3 linked regions of the Drosophila melanogaster genome follow. The protein of the gene in region 3 interacts with the protein of the main gene of each other region in a pairwise test. Each region holds a gene or a part of one and is shown on either strand. Other genes may lie near its edges.

Evidence for each region. Proteins that work in one complex are often made in the same cells at the same time.
Region 1: the proteins of CG13114 (region 3) and Cpr92F interact in a two-hybrid assay, tested with the Drosophila melanogaster proteins (one large-scale study listed by BioGRID).
Region 2: the proteins of CG13114 (region 3) and CG31211 interact in a two-hybrid assay, tested with the Drosophila melanogaster proteins (one large-scale study listed by BioGRID).

What each region holds. Positions count from the first base shown.
Region 1 is NT_033777.3:20,666,074-20,673,321, forward strand, and holds Cpr92F (cuticular protein 92F), read left to right. Parts: upstream 1-3,497; 5' UTR 3,498-3,657; coding exon 3,658-3,669; intron 3,670-5,062; coding exon 5,063-6,196; 3' UTR 6,197-6,748; downstream 6,749-7,248.
Region 2 is NT_033777.3:11,946,449-11,954,538, reverse strand, and holds CG31211 (uncharacterized protein), read right to left. Parts: upstream 4,860-8,090; 5' UTR 4,735-4,859; coding exon 4,185-4,734; intron 4,113-4,184; coding exon 3,755-4,112; intron 3,682-3,754; coding exon 3,528-3,681; intron 3,290-3,527; coding exon 3,047-3,289; intron 2,817-3,046; coding exon 2,714-2,816; intron 2,358-2,713; coding exon 2,301-2,357; intron 1,899-2,300; coding exon 1,774-1,898; intron 1,713-1,773; coding exon 621-1,712; 3' UTR 501-620; downstream 1-500. Other genes in the region: Hsp70Aa (heat shock protein 70 Aa), read left to right, coding at 1-178.
Region 3 is NT_033779.5:9,542,182-9,549,310, reverse strand, and holds CG13114 (uncharacterized protein), read right to left. Parts: upstream 3,501-7,129; 5' UTR 3,379-3,500; intron 3,295-3,378; coding exon 2,014-3,294; 3' UTR 1,887-2,013; downstream 1-1,886. Other genes in the region: CG13113 (uncharacterized protein), read right to left, coding at 4,519-5,136; Cpr30B (cuticular protein 30B), read right to left, coding at 5,833-6,282, 6,353-6,364.

The sequences.
Region 1 (7,248 bases), on a different chromosome or scaffold from region 3:
AAAGCGCAAATGTAAGCCAAAGAACGAAATCAAGCAATGCGATTGCTATTGCCGTTGCCTTCAATTAGCCATTTCCAAGAGGGCATTTACACCCCGATTGCATCCGCATGGCCTAAAGGCACTAAACGCTTCACTGCATCCACATCGCTGGGCAAACCAGGGCATAGCGTCTGGAATGGCCAAAACCAACTACCAGAAGAATTTCAATGCCAAAATGGTACGATGGGACAAATTCGCGGATTTCATGGCAGTCTTTTGTGTTTTTAACAATTACCAATTAACGCAGATTTATATGACTAATTAAAGAGACCTGCCTTCCAAATCGCTGTTTTCTTGTGAATAGATATAGAAACATTCAATCTATTTCATATATTTTTCAAGTTTTTCAAAGGTTTAGCTGTTTAGCATTTATATTTTGACGAGTTTTTAGACTGCGGAGTTACTGTCTTTTGGTTCGGTGATGCGTGACCAGGCTAGAAGGCATCGGCGCTGGTGTTGCCATGCTAATTCCGATTGCAACTGGTATTGGCCAAGCCAGTTTCCGTTGCGACACGTCATGAAGAATTTTATTGTCTTGCGGGCAGAATTTTAAATATTAATTACAACTAATTGCCGCGGCTAGAAGCAAGCCACGCTTCATTTGCCTAATGGCTTCGCCGGTCGCAAGTGGCCAGCCACTGAACAAGTAGTGATATATATAACACCACCACCCGCTATTCATCTTAATTATGTTGTTTAACAGCTAGTTCAATTAATTGGACATGATTTAGCCATGTGCATGTACGCAATCGGAATCAGAAAACAAACGATTGCAGACGCAACACCTGCCTACGCCAAGGTAATTCCATGCAGATGCAAATGTTCTTTTCCGGCCCATAACTGTAAATAACGGCAATTGAATAAAGACTGAAATCGAGCAGGCAATTTATTGAAAAACATCTATGCAGTTCGCATCCAGACCTGATTTGCATATATTCAAATGGATCAAAAGGCAACAAGTAACTGCTGCCCAACCTACGCCCACTCGAAAGTTTTTTTTTGCTATTCGCAATTGTTTGGCATTCCCTGTATCTTTAAATCCACAAAAATGACTGCAGATACAGAGAATTCTGGGGTCTCGCAAGTGGTACGAAATAGTTTTCAATATTTTTGTTTTTTCTTTTTTATTTGAAGGAAAGACAGCTTGGCATTGGAACGTGCTAAGCCAACAATGAGTAAGCCCAAAAGGGTAACACTGAAACAAATTGCTGAAACAAATTCTCAATTCTACAAACTGGAAAAACGTGTGCATAAACTATTAAAAATGATTTCTGGGATTACTTTTATTTCGTTATACTAGACTTTTCAAATACTTACTATTTCCTTTTCAATCCATTTGTACCCAAGTCAATTAAATTTTATTGTCCGATTTCCTAGCACATACATTTGATGTGATCAGTAGCATTGAAAGATATCAATTTTAAAATACATCCAAGTCTGGCTACGCTTAGATTAGGAATGCATTTAGATAAATTGATTCTGATTGCATAATACGCGTTATTACCAGGTAATTAGTTAATTTTCACCCAGATACCGATCAGAATTCATATGCCCGACACCCGGCCAGTAGCGTTCGCATTGAGAGCCAAGACCATAATTACAGACGCCGTTCGCAAATGGAGCTGGATTGGATCGGGTCGGGTTGGAGCTGAAGCTGAAGGTGGCTGAAGGTGGGCACCTCGACAAATCCACAAATGTGTGGATTGCACTTGAGCCAGTCGAGGCATTCATTCAGGCAGTCGGCCCACAGCTGTCGACAGTGGGCCGAGCTAATAAAATGAAAACAAAAGTGGCACCGGCAAAAAATATAATTTATAATGTTGCGCATACCGCAAAAATGTCAAACACGCCCCAAACCGATCGCCCGCCCGCGCATAAAAACAACAACAACAGCACATGCGGGTTCAAAAGAGCAGTTTGAAGTTGGTTTGGTTTATTCAAATTAAATTGGTGGCAGGCAAAGGCAAACAAATTAAGTTGCCGATACGAACTCAAGAATATGGAGTGTGCCATATAGACTATAAACGAGTATATAGGCGCATATAGCCAACCGCCCTCCCGATTTCGCTTATCGAATGCAAATAATCAAAGTTAGCCAGGGTGCAAGCACTCATTATATTGCAACGGACAAGAGAGGCTCACTGCTGCACTTGCAGAAAAAATGCAATCGGATTTCGGATACGGAATCGAAATTCATTACATTAAATTATATTTATTTCTTTATGTATATATATATATTTATATGTTTAACTGAGCTATAAAAAAATAATAACATTTTGGGGAAAAAAAATCATCTCTTCTCTTTAATAACTAAGATACTCAATAATTGTTAAGAAGTTGGGATATTCAACTAAGATACATACAAAAATTAGTTACAACAGCATTTCTTTCGAAATCGTTCACTCACCTAGCATTCGACGAATATCATTTTCTCTTCTTAGGGATTATTCTTAGTTAAGGATAGCTCATTCTAAGTTAAATAATTTTGATTTTCCGAGTGCATGAGTGCATTTGGGAGTGCAACATCTAGATTAGCGGACAGCAAAGAAATGCTGCAACATGTGGCAACAGCGGTGGCCAAAAGTGAATAGAAAATCCATTTTGCTGTCTTTTGTTTTCCGCTTGCTTCTTTGGGCAGTGCTCTTGTTTCTCCTTTTTTTTTAATTTGCAAAGTTTTCGTTTCGTTTTCCGATGCAGTTCAATGATTAAAGAGGCAAACGCCCAGAAATTGGCCAGCTCACATTTCGTTATGGCCACCATTGGGGCATGTTGCAAGCGGTGGGTAAGAATTTTTTAATTTGATCGAGCGTTGCGCTTGGGGCGGGGCTCTTGGGCGTTTTTTGGAAAGGCACTGATCGATAAGATCGGCCTAATCCCGTGGCCAAATAATGAGTGCTAATTGTCCGCACCGCGGAAGTCAAAGAACTAGCACCCGAAACAACACCAAATAAAATACATTAATCGCCTAATGTTGAAGCCAGGTTGAAACCAATACCGGCAATTAAATCGCGTTGAAAGCAAGGTCATGGCAGCTGTGATTTTTTCCACAGTGACAAACGCAGCGCGGAAACGCACGAGCAACATGTTGCCAGTGCAACTGCAGGCCAGCAACATGCTGCAGCGGCACTCCACTGCAAGCGATTGATACACATTCTTCGGCTGCGATATCCACTTCGGCTCTGGCCAAACCCCGCTTCGAGCCCCGATTAAAGTGGTAATTCGATTACTCTGGAACTGGTACCACACATTGTTCTGCTCTTGCTCTCGTTGGCTTTTGTTGGCTTTTGTTGAACGCCCGATATTGCTGGTGTTGCGGTGTTTTCGCTGCTGTTACCAATGTTGCGCATGCGCCGGCGTCTCAGCCGGAGTCTCGGCTGCAGTGTCTCTGCTCCCCAATCCCCAGTCTCCGGGCTCGCTGGTCTCGGGCGGTATATATTAGGGCCGCCAGCCAGCAGTCAGCACAGTTCGTTAACAGTCCTAGTCGTGGTTCTAGGAGGTTCAACCAGCGTCCAGCGACCAGTGCCTGTGCCCGTGTGTCGTGTGTAGTTAGTTTTCCGTTCATCCGCAGTGTGTCCCCGAAACTCCTTTTCGAAGCTCAATCGTGTGATCATAGCTAAAATGAAGCCATTCGTAAGTATGCGCCATGGGATCGAAAGGATAACGCCGAGCAAGAGGATTAAAGTTATAAATAATATGAGTTGGAGTGTGTAGATTACCGTGAGGAGAAAAGGATATTTGGATTCCGTGCTTGAATTACTGAGATACATTTCTAACTTTTTCTGTTCTACAAATTAGTGATTAACGTCTCTGCATGTAATTTATTTTTCTTAAAGTTACAAAATTTTACCATAAAAGTGGGCAAAAGTTCATTTAATTGATTGATTCTATCATGAAATGCTTAAGTTCATTAAAATCGTAGTTTAATGGAACTATGTAAGTCCACAGCCAGGTTTCGCTAGTTAGAACTGCTTTTTCATTTTCGATCTTTGGGATATGTTAATCGGTATCAAGAGAGAAGTGTGGCATACCAAATCTTTAAATTGGATTTTGTCAGCCGTTCGAAAAGTAAACACTAGTTTGACAGTGACTTGCCATTAAGTTTGAATGAATTCCTGGCATTCTTTTAATCTGTCATAGCGCAATTAATTTAAAATTCAACTGACATTGCTTTTGTAAACTCAATTTATTTCGCTTAAATTCCGCTCCGAACGAAATGGCACCTGTGCATCGTTCAGTTCCATCCGAGAGTCAATTACCATGGCACGTCATGCTAAACGTACCACCCAGCAAACCATCAGCTGCCATGGAACTCCGTGCGAAATCCCGTTGATAAGCCGCTGACATGTTGCATGTCGGACAGTTTATTCAACCGTTTTTCCACCACTTTCTGCCCCACTCACCTGCTGACACATAATATCGTACATAATCGCGCCGCATGCGGTAATATCTTCGAACGAATATTGGCCGACCGACCGACTACTGACTACATATCTCGGAATCAAATCTAACGGTTGCGCTTCGCGGCTCTGAAAAGCGAAACCATTGGAAAAGCGAATCCAGAGGAGAAGCGAGTCCAGGAGAAAAGCGAAAAGATGGGCGTGTGGGGCAAGAAAAGCGAGAGGAAAACGCTGGCGCAAGAGCAAGAAAAGCGAAAAGCCTGTAATTAGGTTAGCAGAGGCGGCTTATAAGCTTCCACTGAGTGACACCTGCGATTAACGATTTTGGGCGGTGGCTACCGCACGAGTAATTATTGAGCAGTCACATAATCCCACGCCTAACACCTTCTGCACTGTGAGAAACATGTAGAAGCTATATGTTAAATAATTTGAAATATTCAAAGAGATGAAGGTACAAAAGTTCTCTAATCGGAATTCAACATAGGCAAAATCAAAAAGATTTTTAATTATTATTATATATATATTTAATATATAAAAATCAGTTCTGTAAAGCTATATTGAAATTTGTTAGTTTTTTTTATCAGCTACATCAAAATTACAAAAAATAATTTCCCATTTTTATTTAGTTTATTGCCGCAGCGTTGCTGATCTCGACGGTGTCCGCCTCTTGGCACGGAGCCGTCTCCACACAGTACCAGCACCTGGACCCGCACAGCCACACCTACTCCTACGGATACGCCGATCCCAACTCACAGAAGCACGAGACGCGAAGCCATGACGGCACCACGCACGGCTCCTACTCCTACGTGGATGGTCACGGTCATGTGCAGTCGGTGTCCTACACCGCTGATCCGCACCATGGCTTCAACGCCGTGGGCACCAACCTGCCTCAGGCTCCTCAAGTTCATGCCGCTCCCGTTTACGCTGCCGCCCACGCCCATGGCGCCTATGCTCCTTACGCCCACGGACCCATCCACATCCCGGTGCTGACCCACGGAGGCGTCCCCGTCGATACTCCCGAAGTGCAGCACGCCAAGGCCGCCCATGCCGCTGCCCACGCTGCTGCCGCCCACAATGCCGGAGGACACCACCTGTACAAGCGGTCTATTTACGGCGGAGGATGGGCCTACGGACAAGCCGCCCATGTGCCGCTGACTCATGGAGGTGTGCCCGTTGATACTCCCGATGTGCAGGCCGCCAAGGCCGAGCACTATGCCGCCCACGCCAAAGCCCTTGGCCATGTAGCTCATGCCCACGGTGCTCCCGTTGAGACACCCGAGGTGCAGCACGCCAAGGCTGCGCACTTTGCCGCCCATGCTGCCGCCCGTTCTGGACATGCCGTTTCCCCCATTAACCACGGTGGCTATCACGTGCCGGTAATCCACAATGGAGTACCCGTCGATACGCCCGAGGTGCAGCATGCCAAGGCCGCCCACTACGCCGCCCTGTCCCAGGCCTCCGCCCACGGAGGAGCCTCGCATGGATCCTGGGATGATGGCAGCTACGACGGACGCTGGGAACAGAGCCACAGCAGCCACAACAGTTACGCCTCCGGCTATGCGCACAAGGGACCCATCCACATCCCGGTCATCCACAACGGAGTGCCCGTGGAGCCTGCCGAGGTGCAGCACGCCCGTGCCGCGCATCTGAATGCGTTGGCCGCCGCCGGACATGGAGCTCCCGCCAGCCATGGTAGCTACTACGGTGGCAATGGACACGAGGATGATGGCCAGTACCACGCGCACTATGACCACTATTAAGTGACGAGTGGTCGGCACTTGAGAGAAGTTTAACTTCCGATCGACGACGAGCATCTCTATACACTCTGACTAACCGACTACCGAAGCCAGCGTGGCGTATGCGTAACGTTGCATTGCGTATTCGCTCGCCAGTGCCACTTTTATACAGCATTCGCAACTCTCTGTCTTTCTATACATTTATCTGTTCTATTACTGCTTCTATTTCTTAACCTCTGTCACAAAAACACACGGAAAACTGAAAGCTACTACACACGGGAGATTGAAGTGCTTCGTTAGAAGCCTTCCTTGCCCGCTGGGTTTTGACCGATTTGGATTTTCGATCCAGTCACAGCACACACATCTCTACCTACCTACCTACATACTTCTCTCTGTACTAGGATTTTCCCTCATTTTTTATCTATATCTTTATCCTCCTGTTACTTCGATTGAGAAACGCTGTATGAGTATGTTGTAAATAACAGTTGTAATCTTTATGTATCTGACCAGATATAGATCTATATTTTATATGAACATGCAAACAGACAAATAAACTGCAAAAATGTATTTGATCACAATTTGAAGTGTTTGGAACTGGTGGTGGGATTGTGGTATTAAGAATTTAAAATCAAAGCCCCAGGATGCAATGTTAACTTACTTCTTGAGATAAGCTTTTAAATTTTGTTGGTAAAAAGCGCAGCCCTAAATAATTAGATAAATATTTCGCTTTACATTTTTCAACATATATATATAAATTAGTTACTTTTTTAATTTAATCAATGATTTCTGTTAAAATATTTCAAAATTTGCTAAGGCTCCTAGACAAAAATTAAAACACTTTTTAGGCTTATTAGATTTAAATTCAATCGAACTTATTGTATTTAAAGTTGGAATTGAAAATTCATCTTCATCCTGAAGATAAAATTCCACATTTAATGATTTTTCTGATGTTTTGTCATGTTAATTAAAAGGCCATCCAGTTTTGGGGCTTCGCATCCATTTACTTTAAACTCTGTTGCATATTTCCCAGTCTCAGGTCAAATGCCGCACCACCCAGAACAACCATCTAAACCACC
Region 2 (8,090 bases), on a different chromosome or scaffold from region 3:
CGAGAAGGAGGAGTTCGACCACAAGCTGGAGGAGCTCACCCGCCACTGCTCCCCCATCATGACCAAGATGCATCAGCAGGGTGCGGGAGCTGGAGCTGGTGGTCCGGGAGCAAACTGCGGCCAGCAGGCGGGAGGATTTGGAGGCTACTCTGGACCCACGGTCGAGGAGGTCGACTAAGGCCAAAGAGTCTAATTTTTGTTCATCAATGGGTTATAACATATGGGTTATATTATAAGTTTGTTTTAAGTTTTTGAGACTGATAAGAATGTTTCGATCGAATATTCCATAGAACAACAATAGTATTACCTAATTACCAAGTCTTAATTTAGCAAAAATGTTATTGCTTATAGAAAAAATAAATTATTTATTGAATTTAAAAAAGTTTACTTGTTTGTATTATTGGGAACTTAATTCCCGTATTCCCGTATGTCCAACTTTAAAAATATATCTAATTATTATGAGGATATTCGCATAACACATGAAAAAAAAACAAATTTTTCTGAGTTTTTAATTTATTAGGCTGATTTAAAACTGTTTACTAAAAAGCATCTTAAACAGAAGAAATAATAATTATGTAATATTAACAATTAACTTCGGATTTTTACGCGCAAGATTTTTCTTAATGGCGCTTGCGCGGATGCGACGCGGAAGTGGAGGAGTATGCTTTCGAGCTGGAGTGGTGAGTGCTTCGCGACTTGGAGCGGGATCTCGTGCGGTGCCGCTTCCGTCCGCTGCTGCTGCTGCCGTGATCATGGCTACGGTTGCTGCCATGATCATGGCTACGGCTGCTGCTCTGCCGCGAGGAGCGGTGGTAACTGCTGCTACCGCCAGCATCTTCGCCTGAATGGCTGGACTCGCGATGTCGGCGCTGTTTCTGGTGGTGACTTCCACTAAGCTGGCTACTACGATGCTGGCGATGACTCCTATCACGGTCCCGCTCTCGCTCCCGCGCCCGCTCCCTTTCTCTGTCGCGATCGCGACGTTCGTATTTGCTCCGACTGCTGCTGTGGTGGCTGCGGTGTCCATGCCGACTGGATCGCTTGCTGCGGCTGCCTGAAGTTTTGGATCCGCTCGAGGTGCTGCTACTGTCGTCGCTATCGCTGCTAGAGCTGCTCCCACTGCTGCTAGACGATGACGAGGGGGACGAGTGGCGGCGCTTGCTTTTTTTATGCGACGACTTGTTGGCCTTGTGCAGCGCCTTGTCAGCCGCAGTCAGCATGGTGGCCACCGACTCCGGCATCTGCAGTAGATTAGTGGCCGGATTGGGAACGGGCTTCAGCTTTTGTGGGCTGCTATTGCTTAGGCTTCCGGGTGGTGGCACCACAGCGGTCGCCACTACTTGTTGCACGAAGCTCTGCGACTGCTGTTTGCCGTCCTTGTTGTCGCTAAAGCGGGTGGTCCGTTCCTTGCGACTGAGTCTTTTGCCTAAATGATGGCAATGTATGCTTAGGAGTTCTTTGGATTTATGTGCATCACCTATACCATTTGACTGCTGATGCTTTTCCTGGGTTGCTTGACTAGCCGACTCACTGGGCGGTTCTGGATTGGCCGCCGGTCGACGATGCTCACCACCACCAGTTACGGAGCGTTCTAGCTCCCGCTTGCGATGTCGCAGCAGTGTTTGCTCATCAAGCAGCTCTTGCTTGGCCACTCGATCCTCAATGTCGTCAATGACTTTCTCGAAGGATCGTTTGCTGCGCCTTATGCGAGCCTAAAAGCCAAATAATATTGAGAATTGATATCTTTTGATAATGAACGTGTGGCTAACTTACTTTCAACTCCTCCGCGCTTAGCTGCGCGCTTTTTTCGGCATCCTTTCCAGCGCCCGCTTGACGCTCATCTTCATCATCCTCATCATCCTCGGTTTCGCTGGAAGAATCGCCATAGGCAGCTAAACCTATAATTCAAATCAGTCAAGTGCTAATTGTTGCTACCAGGCTTCAATGTAGATCGGGCGCAGATTTTGGTATATTTTGAACTGATTTTCAATATCTTCGCAAGAATTTACGGAAAGGTGAAAGGAAGGGGAAATGGGGAAGCGAAAGGACGAAGAAGCGGGCTAGAAAGACCAAACTGCGCCGAGGGGGTCGAAATCATTTGGCCATGGCTTAAATTTACAGGAAGCATAGAATGTTAAATCTCGGCCATAGGAGTAATCCAATTCTTTGTAATATCTTTTCGTTTTGTGATTAGGATTTGGGGTATAGAAAGACAGGATGACCAAGCATAACTCAGACTACCTCTGAACAAAAATAGTGCAAAGAATATGTATGAACTAAACTGGAATTTGGTTACTTACCCAAGTTGCCGGTAATGGAGGACAAGGCGCTTTTGCGAATCACTTGGGCTGATGACGCTTTTGATTTACACATACATACATATATATATATAATTATATATATTATATATTAAAATTAAAAAATTCAGCAAGTGATTTCATTGGTTTGTGTGGTGTTCGATATATCAATTCATTATTAGGGATTTAAAGATTATTAGCATAGACATAGGATTAAAAGAGTTGGTAACGCGCTGTGAAGCCGGAAAAAACACGACTCCAATCGCTTGGCCGAAACATCCGGTCATCCAAGCTACAATCGATCCGCGATATATCCGCGCCGTCTTACGATCTATAACTACTTACACACACACACACGAGCGCGAGCGCTGGAAGAAATCGGTTTGGGATAAACTTAAGTATAATGCATAATGTACCTTTCGCACGGTGTGCTTTTAGAGTCTCGCCTGCAATGGCTGCAATCTCTTCGTTCGTGGTTTCCAGCAGGATTTCGGTTAGTGTCCGACGCACCACAAGCATCTACAGATGGGTGGTATTGGGTGTTCATATTCATTGTTTGCAACTATACAAATGGGTTTTTTTTTTGGATGTGCCGCCGATGGCCAGGGAATGAAACTCTAGTGAAGAGTGAACGAACTGCAGAGCAGCCAGTAAAGTGTTGTCAGAATTCCGCAGTTCCTTCGCCTCTGAGACTCACTCGATTTCATCGCCTGGCTGAGCAAACATCCGGGTCAAATGGTGATGCCTACCAGATCCGCCAGTCTTTCTTCGTAGTTTTTACCATTGACATCGTTTACGGTAGCCATTCTCACGTGCTCCGCCACTGTCCGATTGCCGGTTTCGATGGCTCCATGCAGCTCCGACTCTGGCTCTTCGCTGCTGCTGCTGCTTCGATCGTCGTCCTTACTAATCAATTCATTACCTATTTGCTGCACCTTTAGTTCTCCACGCGCCTCCACAGGCACGTCAATGGAATCTTCGCTGTCGCTAGCCTGAATTTCAAGGGAATGTTTAATCGACAGCCTGCACTCAAGCCTGCAGTCTGCTCTACTGTCCGGATTGTTTTTAAGTTTTGTGTGCTTTCAACGACGAAACATCGTTTTCAGTTTGGTTCAGTCCCGTCTAAATTTTGTGCAACCAATTTGTGTGAGATGGTGTGTGCTACGCTTTCGGCACTTTTCTGTCCGTATTGAGAGTCAGTTAACCCTGCCGCCCATCGACCTTACTTACCACGTTCGCGATGTTCAAAAGATTACCAGGTGTGGTTAGTGTTTTGCTTGATACTTGCTTAACATGGTTGACCTCAACATCTGGCGTGGTCATGGAGGATTGCTGGCGCTCTAGTTGCCGCTGCTTTTCCCGCTCCATTTTCTCCAGGCCCTCTCTGAAAGATTAAGGAAATTATTACAAGTATCTATCTTTTGTGCATCTTATTGTGGTTCTTTGCACACTCATACCTTATCCAAGCTGGCAACATTTTCCGTTTGTTTGCATCGATCTCACTGCTAGCCCCGCTACTTCCGCTTTCCGCATGCGTCTGCTGTGTGTGCTGTGGCGGCAGGTGTGTATGTGGTGTTAGGTGGTGTGGATGTGCATGCGGCTGATGTGCTGGTGGATGGTGTGGATGCGTTGGTTGGGGAGCATGCTGCTGCTGCTGCTGCTGATGCGCTTGCAACTGCAACTGCAGCTGTTGGTGCGGCTCATTGGGATTGCTCACGTTCAGCTTCAGCAGAGATGGTATATGCGCCGTGGAATTGCCTGATTTGTCGGTCTGCATTTGCCACCCGGTCCATGGCTGCTTGCCCAGCGTGACAGCTGCAAGGAACGGAGAGGAGGGTTAGTTGCTGACCTGATTTATTGTGCTATCTTCTTGGATCTTCTACAAACCCGCTCCGTTGGAGGCGTCTGGGATCTGACCAGCCACTTCGGTGCCCGCCAGCCATTGGGATTGCGTAACCAAAGGTGCTGGCGGTGGGGGTGTCTCAGTGCTATGTCCCCGATCATTCTCATCGTCCATGTCCATATCCGCCTCGCCGTGCTCCTCTAGTTGCGGAAATCCCGCCCTGACCACACTGGGCACCGGCATTGCTAGCGTCTGCTGGTGGTATTCTCGCAAATTGCTGATGATGGGCGGCGGAGGGGCCAGGGGCATGGGCACCGGAGTAGCGTCCCGCATGTGGATCCATTGCTGGGCGAGCTGCGCCCAATCGATGCCAACGCCACCCTGCATGGCGAGCGGCAGGCCGGCGGCTACCATGGGCGTCACCATGCCCTGACCGCCCCCGGAGGGCAGTGAAAAATGTGTGGGGGGTGGTGGGGGCTGCGCCAGGAACTGATTGTGATTATGGTTGTGCCCATGGCCATGTTGTCCAAGTCCATGGACGTGGGCATGCTTGTTGTAGCCCAAATCGGCGTTTCCGTTTCCACCAGGAAACATCTCTGCTTGTAGTTCGAATATGCTCTTTAAATCCCAGCTGTATTCCTCAGTTATCGAGGTTTTCTTCACGAGTGAAACGAATTTTCGTCGCCTTCTACGCCATTTTCTTGCTCAGCCCGTTTTGTCATTCGCAGCGAAGCGGTAACAGCGGGTCGCTCATATGACGGTATTTTTTAATACACTTCAGCTATACTGTTATTTCAAAAACATATTTCTTTTGTTACTTTTTATGCAGTTCATTTGCCACCAAAAAGTAGTCTTTTGGATTGATTTATTTCTAAAAATGGTGTAATTCAAGAAATTCAGAGGGCCAAGTAATATACTTAATGACCGTTATTTAAAACACACTCAAGGAGATTTATTTAAACGGCTACAATGGTTTTCCAAATAACTTATTTACTGTTGACTTCTATAAAACATAGGTGTATATATTATTATTTTTTATTGATTTGAGATAATTTTAATTTCCACAATATTTTTTCTTGTGATTAACAGAGAAAGTCAAACTCATAACATTTATCGGGTAAAAGTCTCTATGAAGTAGAGGTTAACAGTGAAGTCGCAAAAGTGTGGCCGTACGCCAATCGAGCGAGTATCCCTAACCTGCAATATTTTTAGTTGGTTTTTTCAGCAATAGCCCCACTTTTCTCAAAGAGTGCAACAAGTGATTCTGTTTATGTTTTCAACAACTTCTCTCTGCGGAACTTAACGTGAGCGGACGTATGCGGACGCGTCGCTGCCGGAAAAATAAGTTGCGTCGGCGTTGCGGCGTTGTTGTTTACGTGTTATAATAAATTTGTGTGCGTGCGAGAAGGGCGCGCTCCTGTCTGTGTTGGTGTTATTGTCGGTCGTTCTCAGCGCGAGTTTCGAAATACCGCATTGTTTAATTACAGCCGCCGCGACTAATTTCAATACAAACAAAAGCTGGTGTGTGAATGAAATTATGCTAAAATAGATAATAGTTAAAGGTAAAAGAAATTAAAAGATGAAGAAGGAGAAGAGGAAGAGAAGTTCTGCAGCGCAGTTGCGTCGGCGCAGCAGCGTTTCTATCGGTGTGTGTCTGAGTCTGTCTGTAGTGGTTTGTCTGGTTTTTTTTCGGGCTGTGTGTGTTCGTGTTTGCCAAGCAACAATTTAATTGCTATTCAATTTTAAAAGCAGTTCAATTGCAAACCATTACAAATATGTAATTTGCTGTCGATTGCTTTTGCACTGGAGTGCGTAATTACATTTTTGAGCCACCAAACACCAAACAGTGCAACTGTTGCCGCTACACTGGGAGCAAAACAGGACGGATAGATGATCAACAGTTCGTTGATTTTACAAAGACAAACGTTTTATTAATATACTTAGCATGTGATTCGATTTAACTGAAAATATATACAAATATTTAGTGGTTGCAAGTTTCTTTGTCATGTTAAGGAAACAAAAGTTCAATTTACGTCTTTATCTATATCAATCTTTCAACCATCAAAATAAAATAAAAAAAAATGAAATATCAACTTAATCTCAGAAATTTGGTATCATACGCAGATCTTGATTTTCTGTGTGCTCTGTAATGGCGTAATCGTAATCTTTGTGCCCCCTTTTAATGATTTAATTAAAAGCGTAAATTGCAGGCCGAAATTCAATTTGTCCGTTTGACTTTTCAATTCGTGTGGGTGGTTCTCTGACATTGGATCGTTGTTGTTTGCTTTTATTTAATTTTTTTTTTTTTGAGTTTTTATTGTAGTTGTGCAACAACACGCACACACACGTAGTAAATAATTAAGTTCGTGCGTCGCGTGCCGTTTTGAATTTTCTTTTTCCTTTTGCTGTGGGGCCCGGAAAATGTTCTCTTCTCACTGCGCGTTTATTTGCATTTCCATCAATGCGAAATTCGACTCGTATAAAATACAATAAAAAATCGTTCGAAAAAAACCAGTTGACCGTGAGATAACTCGTGCATAATTGCTAAATAGCAACAAAAAAGAAATATAAATACATACATATGTGAATGATTGAATTGCTGAAATGTTTAGTGTTTGTGTTTTTTTCTCCTTCTCTTCTCCCCTCTGAATGTGTGCTTGTGTGTTTGCTTTTGCCCTTCGTCAATGAATAACGGCACTTTGCGAGGTGCGAAGTCGAAGAAGAGCAAACAACAACAAATTGCCATCACCTTTGTCAGCAGAGAGAAGCCAAAAAGCAACAACTAAGCCGGCATTGGAGAAGACAAAAAGAGAGAACAACAACAAAAATAACAACAAAACGCAACTGCGACGTCAGCAGAGCCAACGAAGAAGAGGAAGAACCAAGCCTTGGTGGCCACATTCCAACGTCATCAGCCGGCGAAGGCCGGTGCAGCCGCCAAACCCGGGTCACAGAATTCTTTCTTTCGCCGGAGAACTCACCTCTCCCCAACTGAAATTGCTGAAACAACATCTGCGGGTAAGTCAACTTTGACAGTACAGACAGCACTCGATAAGTGGCACAAACTTTCAGTGGGCTGTTGTAGTTGAGCTTAAGCCTAGATTTATGTACCTTTTTGTCTCTTCTACGAAGTAAACTTGCTTATGTTTTGAAATAACGTGGTTTAGTTTCAGCCATCCACTGCACACTGTAGGTAGCAAGTACATCAACGTCAATTTTGTGTTGCTCTCCTTCCGCGTTCTTGTTGTTGCTGTTGCTGGGTCACGCCCACCGCCATGAGAAAACATTTTTGCGTAGAAATTACATATTGTTTCGTTTTCACATCCCAGGAACCCCACCACCGCCCAACTCCCCGCCTGCTGCCCACCTGCACCATCGTGTTTTGTAGCTTGGTTACGGACTGGTAGCCCCCTGCTTCTGTTACCACGATTTCGGCGAGCCTCTTGTATTTTTATGGGTCGTCATCCATCGTTGTTCTGCCAAGCGCCTGAGGAAAGCCCCTAGCCCTCCATCGCCATCTGCATCTCCCGACTCCCAACTCTCTGCTCCATGTTTCACCTCCCGTATCATCAGGTCTTCGCTTTCTGCTCATCAAAGCACAAAAACATTCAACGGCCGGGTGCCTCAATTATGTTAATTATGAATTACTCCCCGGCTGTCTCTTTTGGTATACGGCTGCATGGTTGGGCGTGTTTTTTAGTTGGTCTGCTAGAATGGGGGCTACGAGCTTAAGTGGGGAGCGCCAGTTTAATCGGTTACGTGGGCCATTGATATGAACCATTGCTGATTTCGACGATCCCATGGCAATGAATTTCCCTCCCTATATCCACACAAATTTTGAAATATCTTTCTTGTACTAGCTGTTCAACGGGTATATGATAGTCGAGGATAGTCGAGCATCTGCAGACTGCAATATTCGCCACCATACTTTAATTTTATCCGCCATTGAA
Region 3 (7,129 bases):
TAACATGAGGAAACACGCTAGAGATGGGAAAAAGAAATCGAATTACAAGTCTAGACTGCAGCCAAATAATGGATAATTAAATTAACTAAATAGCGCAGAACTGCAATGCACAAATCGTAGCAAAACTAAATACATACTTAAATCGCGTGGCTGTGCAGCCAATCATTTAATTTGTCGAGCCAATTAAACTTTGTATTTGTGGCTAACCAGGTGAGCTGGAGGTGAGATCGAATAACTATATGCAAATCAATTTAACGAATTTTTCTACACATTTAATGTAAAGATAAAGGCAAAATGAAACAAAAAGAGAAACAAACAACAACAACTTAACCTAATCAATGTTTAATCATGATAAATAAACGCGTAATATATTTAATCTACGGCTACTTAATGTAATACATAATACGAAAGCAAAACTAGGCAAATGCAAGGCATCCAAAAACCGAAAACCAAAAAAACCAAGAAACTTTTCCTATTTGCAATTGAAAATGCATTAGTCAGCAAACTTAATCAAAACAAAAAGGCAACCGAATAATACAAGTACTCATATTTATATATTTAAAGTGTAACAATGTGACACATATATTTGTATAATTAGCAAAATTTTGTGGGACCGAAAACAGCACCAACAACTAAAGGAGCAACTGCAATGTATCTACAAGATATCAGGTATCTTGGGCTCTGTTTTTGGTTTACCAGTTGAACATTTTCGAAACGAAATTGAATACGGAAAGGTTTAAGGAGATTTATGGAATCCGAAAATTATATTCTTTAAAGCAACGGATCGAGATTGTTAATGAATGAAGCTGTATATATACATTTTAAAATATCGTATAACTATAACTATATTTTCTTCTCGATAATTTACGTTTAAATTCATAGCTGGGACGACGTCATTATTTCAAAGTGTTGCAATTTATCGTTTTTAGTTTCACTTCATTTACAATGTACGAATATGTTCTAAATATTATGATTTCACTTTTTTATTTGTTATTTTATATGCAAACATTATTGAAAATAAATAAAACCGCACATTCGCATCTTTGCAAGTGTACTATGCAAATTGTTCTTATTACTTCGTTTGTTGAATATTTATATCCTATCAAGTGCAATTATAGTGAGCTACTTATATAACTTTCTGATTTCCATGGCTATTTTTGTGTGTGCCTATAGAAATTTTCTCAATCCGACATCCTTTCTAGATCGTGTCATACAGAAAATTGAAATGAATAAGCTCCACAAATGTAAAACCTTAGAAAATGAAAGACTTGAGCTGGTGCGTAAAATTTGTGAAAATACAAATTGGAAATACCAAAAACAATTTGGATTCGCCTTGATCAACGGTTAAATAAGCGCTGTTTGAAAACATTCATATTGCATAAATCATATATATTTGCATACGAAAATTTATGAATCTAATTTGTGTATATATCTATGCTTATCAAAATTGGCAAGCATAAACCAGAATTAAGCTGGCGAAATGCGTAAGATGAAATCTTATTCAATGTTATCGACAACAAGAAAGTATATAAAAAAATGAATGCAAATGAAGAAAACTTTTTAAATACAAATAATAAAATGCGTCAAGCCGAATTATAAATGATCGTTTTTGAAAAGTAGCAAACTCGCTACTTTATACTATGTATAAAGTATATATATTCTTGATCAATAGGATCAATAGCCAAGTCGATCTGGTTATGTCCGTATGAAAGTCGAGATTTCAGGAACTATAAAAGCTTTTTTTCATAATTTTATTAGTCTTGTAAATTTTTATCTCTTGTTTCATTAATTCTTTTAACAAAATCGAAGGGGGGAAATTGCTACTTTATAGCCCAAAAGTATGCAATAGTTATTTCAACTATAATACTAAGACCATAATATTCTTTAGTTTTTTGTTAATAATTTATTTAATCATCATGTAGTCAACAGGAAACGGGGAGTACATCAATAAATAATGGGATACCTAGAAAACATTCTAGCCTAGACTAATCCTAAAAAACAACGTATGGAACTTTAGTAGTCCGCATATCCCCTTCCTTGGTTGCCATATCCGAAGTCCTTCAGATAATTATCGATGGCCAGATCGAACGTGGACGATGGCTTATCGGGTCCAGAATCGGGACCACCATATGGCTTGATCTCCGGTTGGGGTACGGGATAGGCTTCCGTACGCGGTTGATAGGACTCAGTTTGGCTGGGATATGACTCTGTGATGCTGGGGTAGGAGTCCTTTTGGCTGGGATAGGATTCCGTGGGACTTGGATATATGGGTGTGTGGCTGGGATACGACTCCGTTTGGCTCTGCACAACGGGATAGACTTCCGTCTGGGGCGCCGAGTATTCCTTGGGTGCTTCAACAATAGGATACGATGTGGATCTCTCATAAATGGGAGACGGTGTGGCCACCACAATCTTCTCCTCGTAGGGAGTCTTTATCTTGGCCACCGACACGCCCGATGATGATGATGAAACCGCTGAGGCGGCATACTTAATGCTGGAGGAGATTTTGGGTGCCGGCGCCACTTTGCTCACGAGTGGAACCACTTGCTTTTTGTAGCTTGGAACCGGGGAATAGAAAACGGAGGGAGCTGGCTGAAGCTGAATACGTGGCGGAGTTGGCACACTAGCTGGGTAGCCCTTCTTGGTGCCATACGCAGTGCTAAGCAATTGGGCCAACTCCTCCAGCGTGTAATTAGGAGCAGCTATGCTGGCCACCGCTGGTGAGGAAGCCACCGAGGGAATGGAAGCCGGTGAAGCAGCTGATGCCGCCTGTTCGTAGACCAATGGATATGGCTTATAGGCCTTGGGTCCGCCCACTGGTCCTACCAATCCCCCATAGGATTCGCCTCCGTACTTGGGAAAGTATTTGCGCTGATGGACATGCGTGTACTCCACCTGGCCACCTGGGGCATACTCCCCAATGGATGAGATCTGGGTGAGCGGCTGCTTGGGCTCAGAAGAGATCACCTTGCGGCAGAACTCCTTGCAGCCCAGCTTGCATTCGCAGTAGCACTTCTTGTACTCCGATGGCTGTGTAGTGTAATCCGTGGGCGTGGGTGGGGCACTGGTTGTTGTTGGGTAAATAGGTCCCGGGCTGGTGGCGCTGGTTGTGGGCGGGCTCAACGTAGAGCCTCCGGTTGTTGTTGGCGCTACCGTTGTGGGCACCTCGCTGCACGGCACCTGTTCCCACACCTCCTGTTCACATTCCGCACAATATTCCGGGAAATGGGCTTGGGTCAATAGTGCCGATGCCATCAGCATGGTCATAAATAATAAATTGCAGCGTTCGAACATCTGAAGGGGGGAGAATATTGAATTTAGAATGGGTCAGAGAATTGCGCCGGAATCGTTCCCAATCGATTGACCCCGTTACCCTACCTTTCAACTGAATTTCTCCCTCGCTCGCTCGATCACTTTCCCCACAATTGCTGGAATTTCTGTCCCGGATCGCCGATGGATGGCACTTGTTGGCTGTTGGTCGGTCGCGTGCGAAACTCTTTCATGCATTTTGCTGAATAGCTCTTAAATACGCTGCGCTGGCCGAGAGCTTCTTCTTCTCGTTCTTACAACGCCGAGCAAATGGGTCGCGGAAGCGTTGACCGCATCACGTTCCAAACGCCCCAAACGGCTCGGAATGGGGCGTGGTTGTCCGGAATGGGTCCGGAATGGGTAAAGACAATCGCCAGATGCCGCCGCTTCCGTAATACACATTCAAGCATTTCTGCCCGCACTCGTCGATAGCTTGGAGTGCTCGCGACAAGAGTTGTTTAATCAAAAACATATAGCAAACATATTTATGTATGACCTTTGGCATGACAATAACCTTTAAGAGAAAGACGAACTTCATAATGCATTTTTTTTAGGCAGTTTCTCATTAGCCAGAATAAACAATCCTCCTGAAATCTTTAATTTTATAAATAGCCAAAACCATTCCGACCGCAATGATCATTTTTTCGGTTCTGCACAAAATTTCCAGCTGCTTGGGGGATTTATAATTTCTGGGTCTCGGCCTAGATCTGATATTAACGTCTGGGGTCGATTGACTTATCAATTTTTGGTTGTAATTCTTTGTGGAACTCAAGGTCTACACGTACACTATGGATAATGGTATTTTTGTAAGCGATATTGCTCAATACCTAAATTATCTTCCTACAAATTGAGTACAAAAGCTTTACTGATTTAAATAATAGTATCTTGACCATTTAACATTTTGTCTAGCTCATTATTTAAACAACATTTTGGGAAAACTCTGCTTAAAATTGGGGGCACTCTTAATCTTTTTTGTTTTAACAAAAATAAGCAACATCACTATTTTCATTATTGCGAGTAAAAGTCATAACAATTTTAGCCTTACAAAGAAAAATAGCAAAAAACTCCGATTTATTTAAAGTAGTCCTTTAAAAAAGTACTTTATTTTTTTTACTTTTATACTTTTAGTATTTATTCATTGTCCGAATCACCAGAGATCACTTAAAATCAAAGCCATTTGCACATTTGGATGAGGTGACTTATTTATGATTAATTTAGATTTGCTACACGACTTTGGAAGGGTAAGCCGGGGTAAACCTGAATATCAGGGAAGAAACTTTGATCATCCCGCACATCAGTTTCCATGGTTTCCTTGTGGTCACGTCTTTTTTCGATGGAGCTGCGCTTCCTTAGTTTCTCCCAGCGATTTTGTTTTAGTTGTGTCTTCGGTTTAACTGGCACTTGAATTTGAGATGGTTTTTTAGATTGACCCGGATCGGAAGTCTCGCGAACCGTTTCCGTGCGACTTGCCATTTCCACATCAATGGTGTCAGCTTTACTACGACCACTGGTAAGTCGCCTCAGCATCTCCTGATAATGCGGTTGATCCGCAGTTATGTATTCCGGTTCGTCTTCGGGATTGAGAATCTGGTAGTTGGGGGTGCCCAGTTCGAAGGTGGTGAATTCACCATGCTCCACTTTGTTCTTCAGATGCTGCGGCGTATACCCATACTGCTTAAGTGGAGCCATCCACTTGGCATCCGCATCCGCAACTGTATCCTTTGAGCTTCCCCCCAGGCAGAAGCCAAGGGTCAATAGCAATGTGACCAGTAGTTGTCGTGTCTCCGGGCAGCCGACCATTTTCGCACTGATGCTCCATGGATGCATTGGTCAGAGCGTTAGCCAAATCCAATAGAATCGCCATCGACGACGTCGACTGCGCCGGTAATTGGACGCCCCCAAAGTGGCAGCAGCTACGTGAGATTAGAGGCATCTATGGGCCATGTCGCGTCTGGCGGCGATAGCATTAGTTTATGCTTATCACAGTATCGAAGCCACCTGTATCGTGACGCATCATTTTATGAGACATCAATTCGCAAATATAATGATACGAATTCACTGAAGAAGCCAAACACACAAGCGAGTTGAACTAAGTCAAGCATTTCATTCACCACTTTTTTTTTTTGGTTTTAATAATCTTTCACTTTTTTGTGTCACACTTGTGAACTGTCATAATGTGGTTTTTCTTCACTTGGCTTATATTTTTCTTAACTGATCTTCACACTTATATAAGTATGTTTGCAACACAACCACTACTCAACTACTCATTTTTTTTTTTATATCAATAAAATACCCTCACCCAGCTTTTAAGTATATTCCCTATATTAAAAAATCCAAGTTTTTGTGTTCCTCTGCGAACAGATTGAATGGGATGCATCTTTATTGTAGGTTAATGTAAGCTGTCTGTATGTACACTCAATTGTCTTAATTGTAACTAAATTATGATGTATGGCAGTGAGTTTTCCCGGGTCAAGACGGGTTTCCTAATGGGTTTATGCAGCTGAAGTCAGTCATTAGATCCTTTTAGTACTTGTACTGTGCTGTTGGTCCGGATACAGAGACATAGTTCCCGGCGGACAGCTCCTGCTTGATAATGGCCTTGGGGGCGGCGTAGTGGACGAGTGGCGCCACCGGTAGCACGGGAGTCAGGATCTTGGCGGCCAGGAGCTTCTTGGGTGGCTCAGGCAACGGTATCTTGATGTCCGTGGGCTCACGCTGGACAATTGCCTCGAAACCGTTGTGATCATCCGCCTTGTACTGCACTATGCGGCGATAGCCATCGGAATCGATCAGCTCGTAGACACCCTCGACCTTGTCGTCCTTGCGGGACTCCTTTTGGCTCTTGATGTCGCCGGTGTGGGGATCGTTCACCGACCACTGGAACTCGTAGGCCACTGGTCCGTAGTCCGGCTCCGCCTGCAATTCAATGGCCCAAACGGCGCTGGCCAGGCACAGGCACAACAAATAGGTAACCTAAAAGGAAGACACCACTCTATGCATTAGAATCCTTTGTATCGCACCCTTTTTCCTCCACTCCACTCACTTTTCCCATCATTTTGTGGTATTTTGGTCCTTTCAGAACTCTTTGGGTATTGAAATGCACTCGACAAAGATCGAAATCGAAGTAATTAATCTGGGTAGTCCTAGGCTGCTTATATACAAGCTGGCCAACTGATTACCAGGCCAGAGCTACGCTTCGATCCAACTTGGATGTGGCAATCCACCCAAGGCGTCGTGTCGCTTTGCGGCACGCGCCTCCCAAACAAGATCGCCGACCAAGTGGAGCGCGCTCATTAAGTGAGCCCCGAAAAATTATAATTAAACAAGAAATATGCAAAATGTGGTTCGCACCAGCCTGAGCCATGCACTGCAAAAAATTAGGAACCAAGTTAGGCTTCATGTCGAACGAAATAGTAACCATTCCATTCTCCTAATTCTTCTTTTCTAATGAAAACGACGTAAAACTCACTTAATATTTTTAAGAAATTTCTAAATCCACCGAATCCAAAATAAAGAAATTTAAAAAATATTTTTATTAAAACTTAAATTTATAAAATCTTGTAGTTTTTTTACCCATGACGCATTTGATTTTTCTTTTGCGACGCACATTCGATAAGCATCCAAATGAATATGCCGCAAGTGGGAGAGCTTGATGGTGATCTTAGAGGTGTCGCGCTAGTTTGTCTGGTCCAACCAACAAATGTGGAGATTAATTTACTTTGTCAATAATTTGCAACATTAGGCATTGGGCAACAAGGCCTCCGACTGCATTAAGTCATAAAAATAATTGTCATGTTTTAATGGATAGCGCACCACGTCG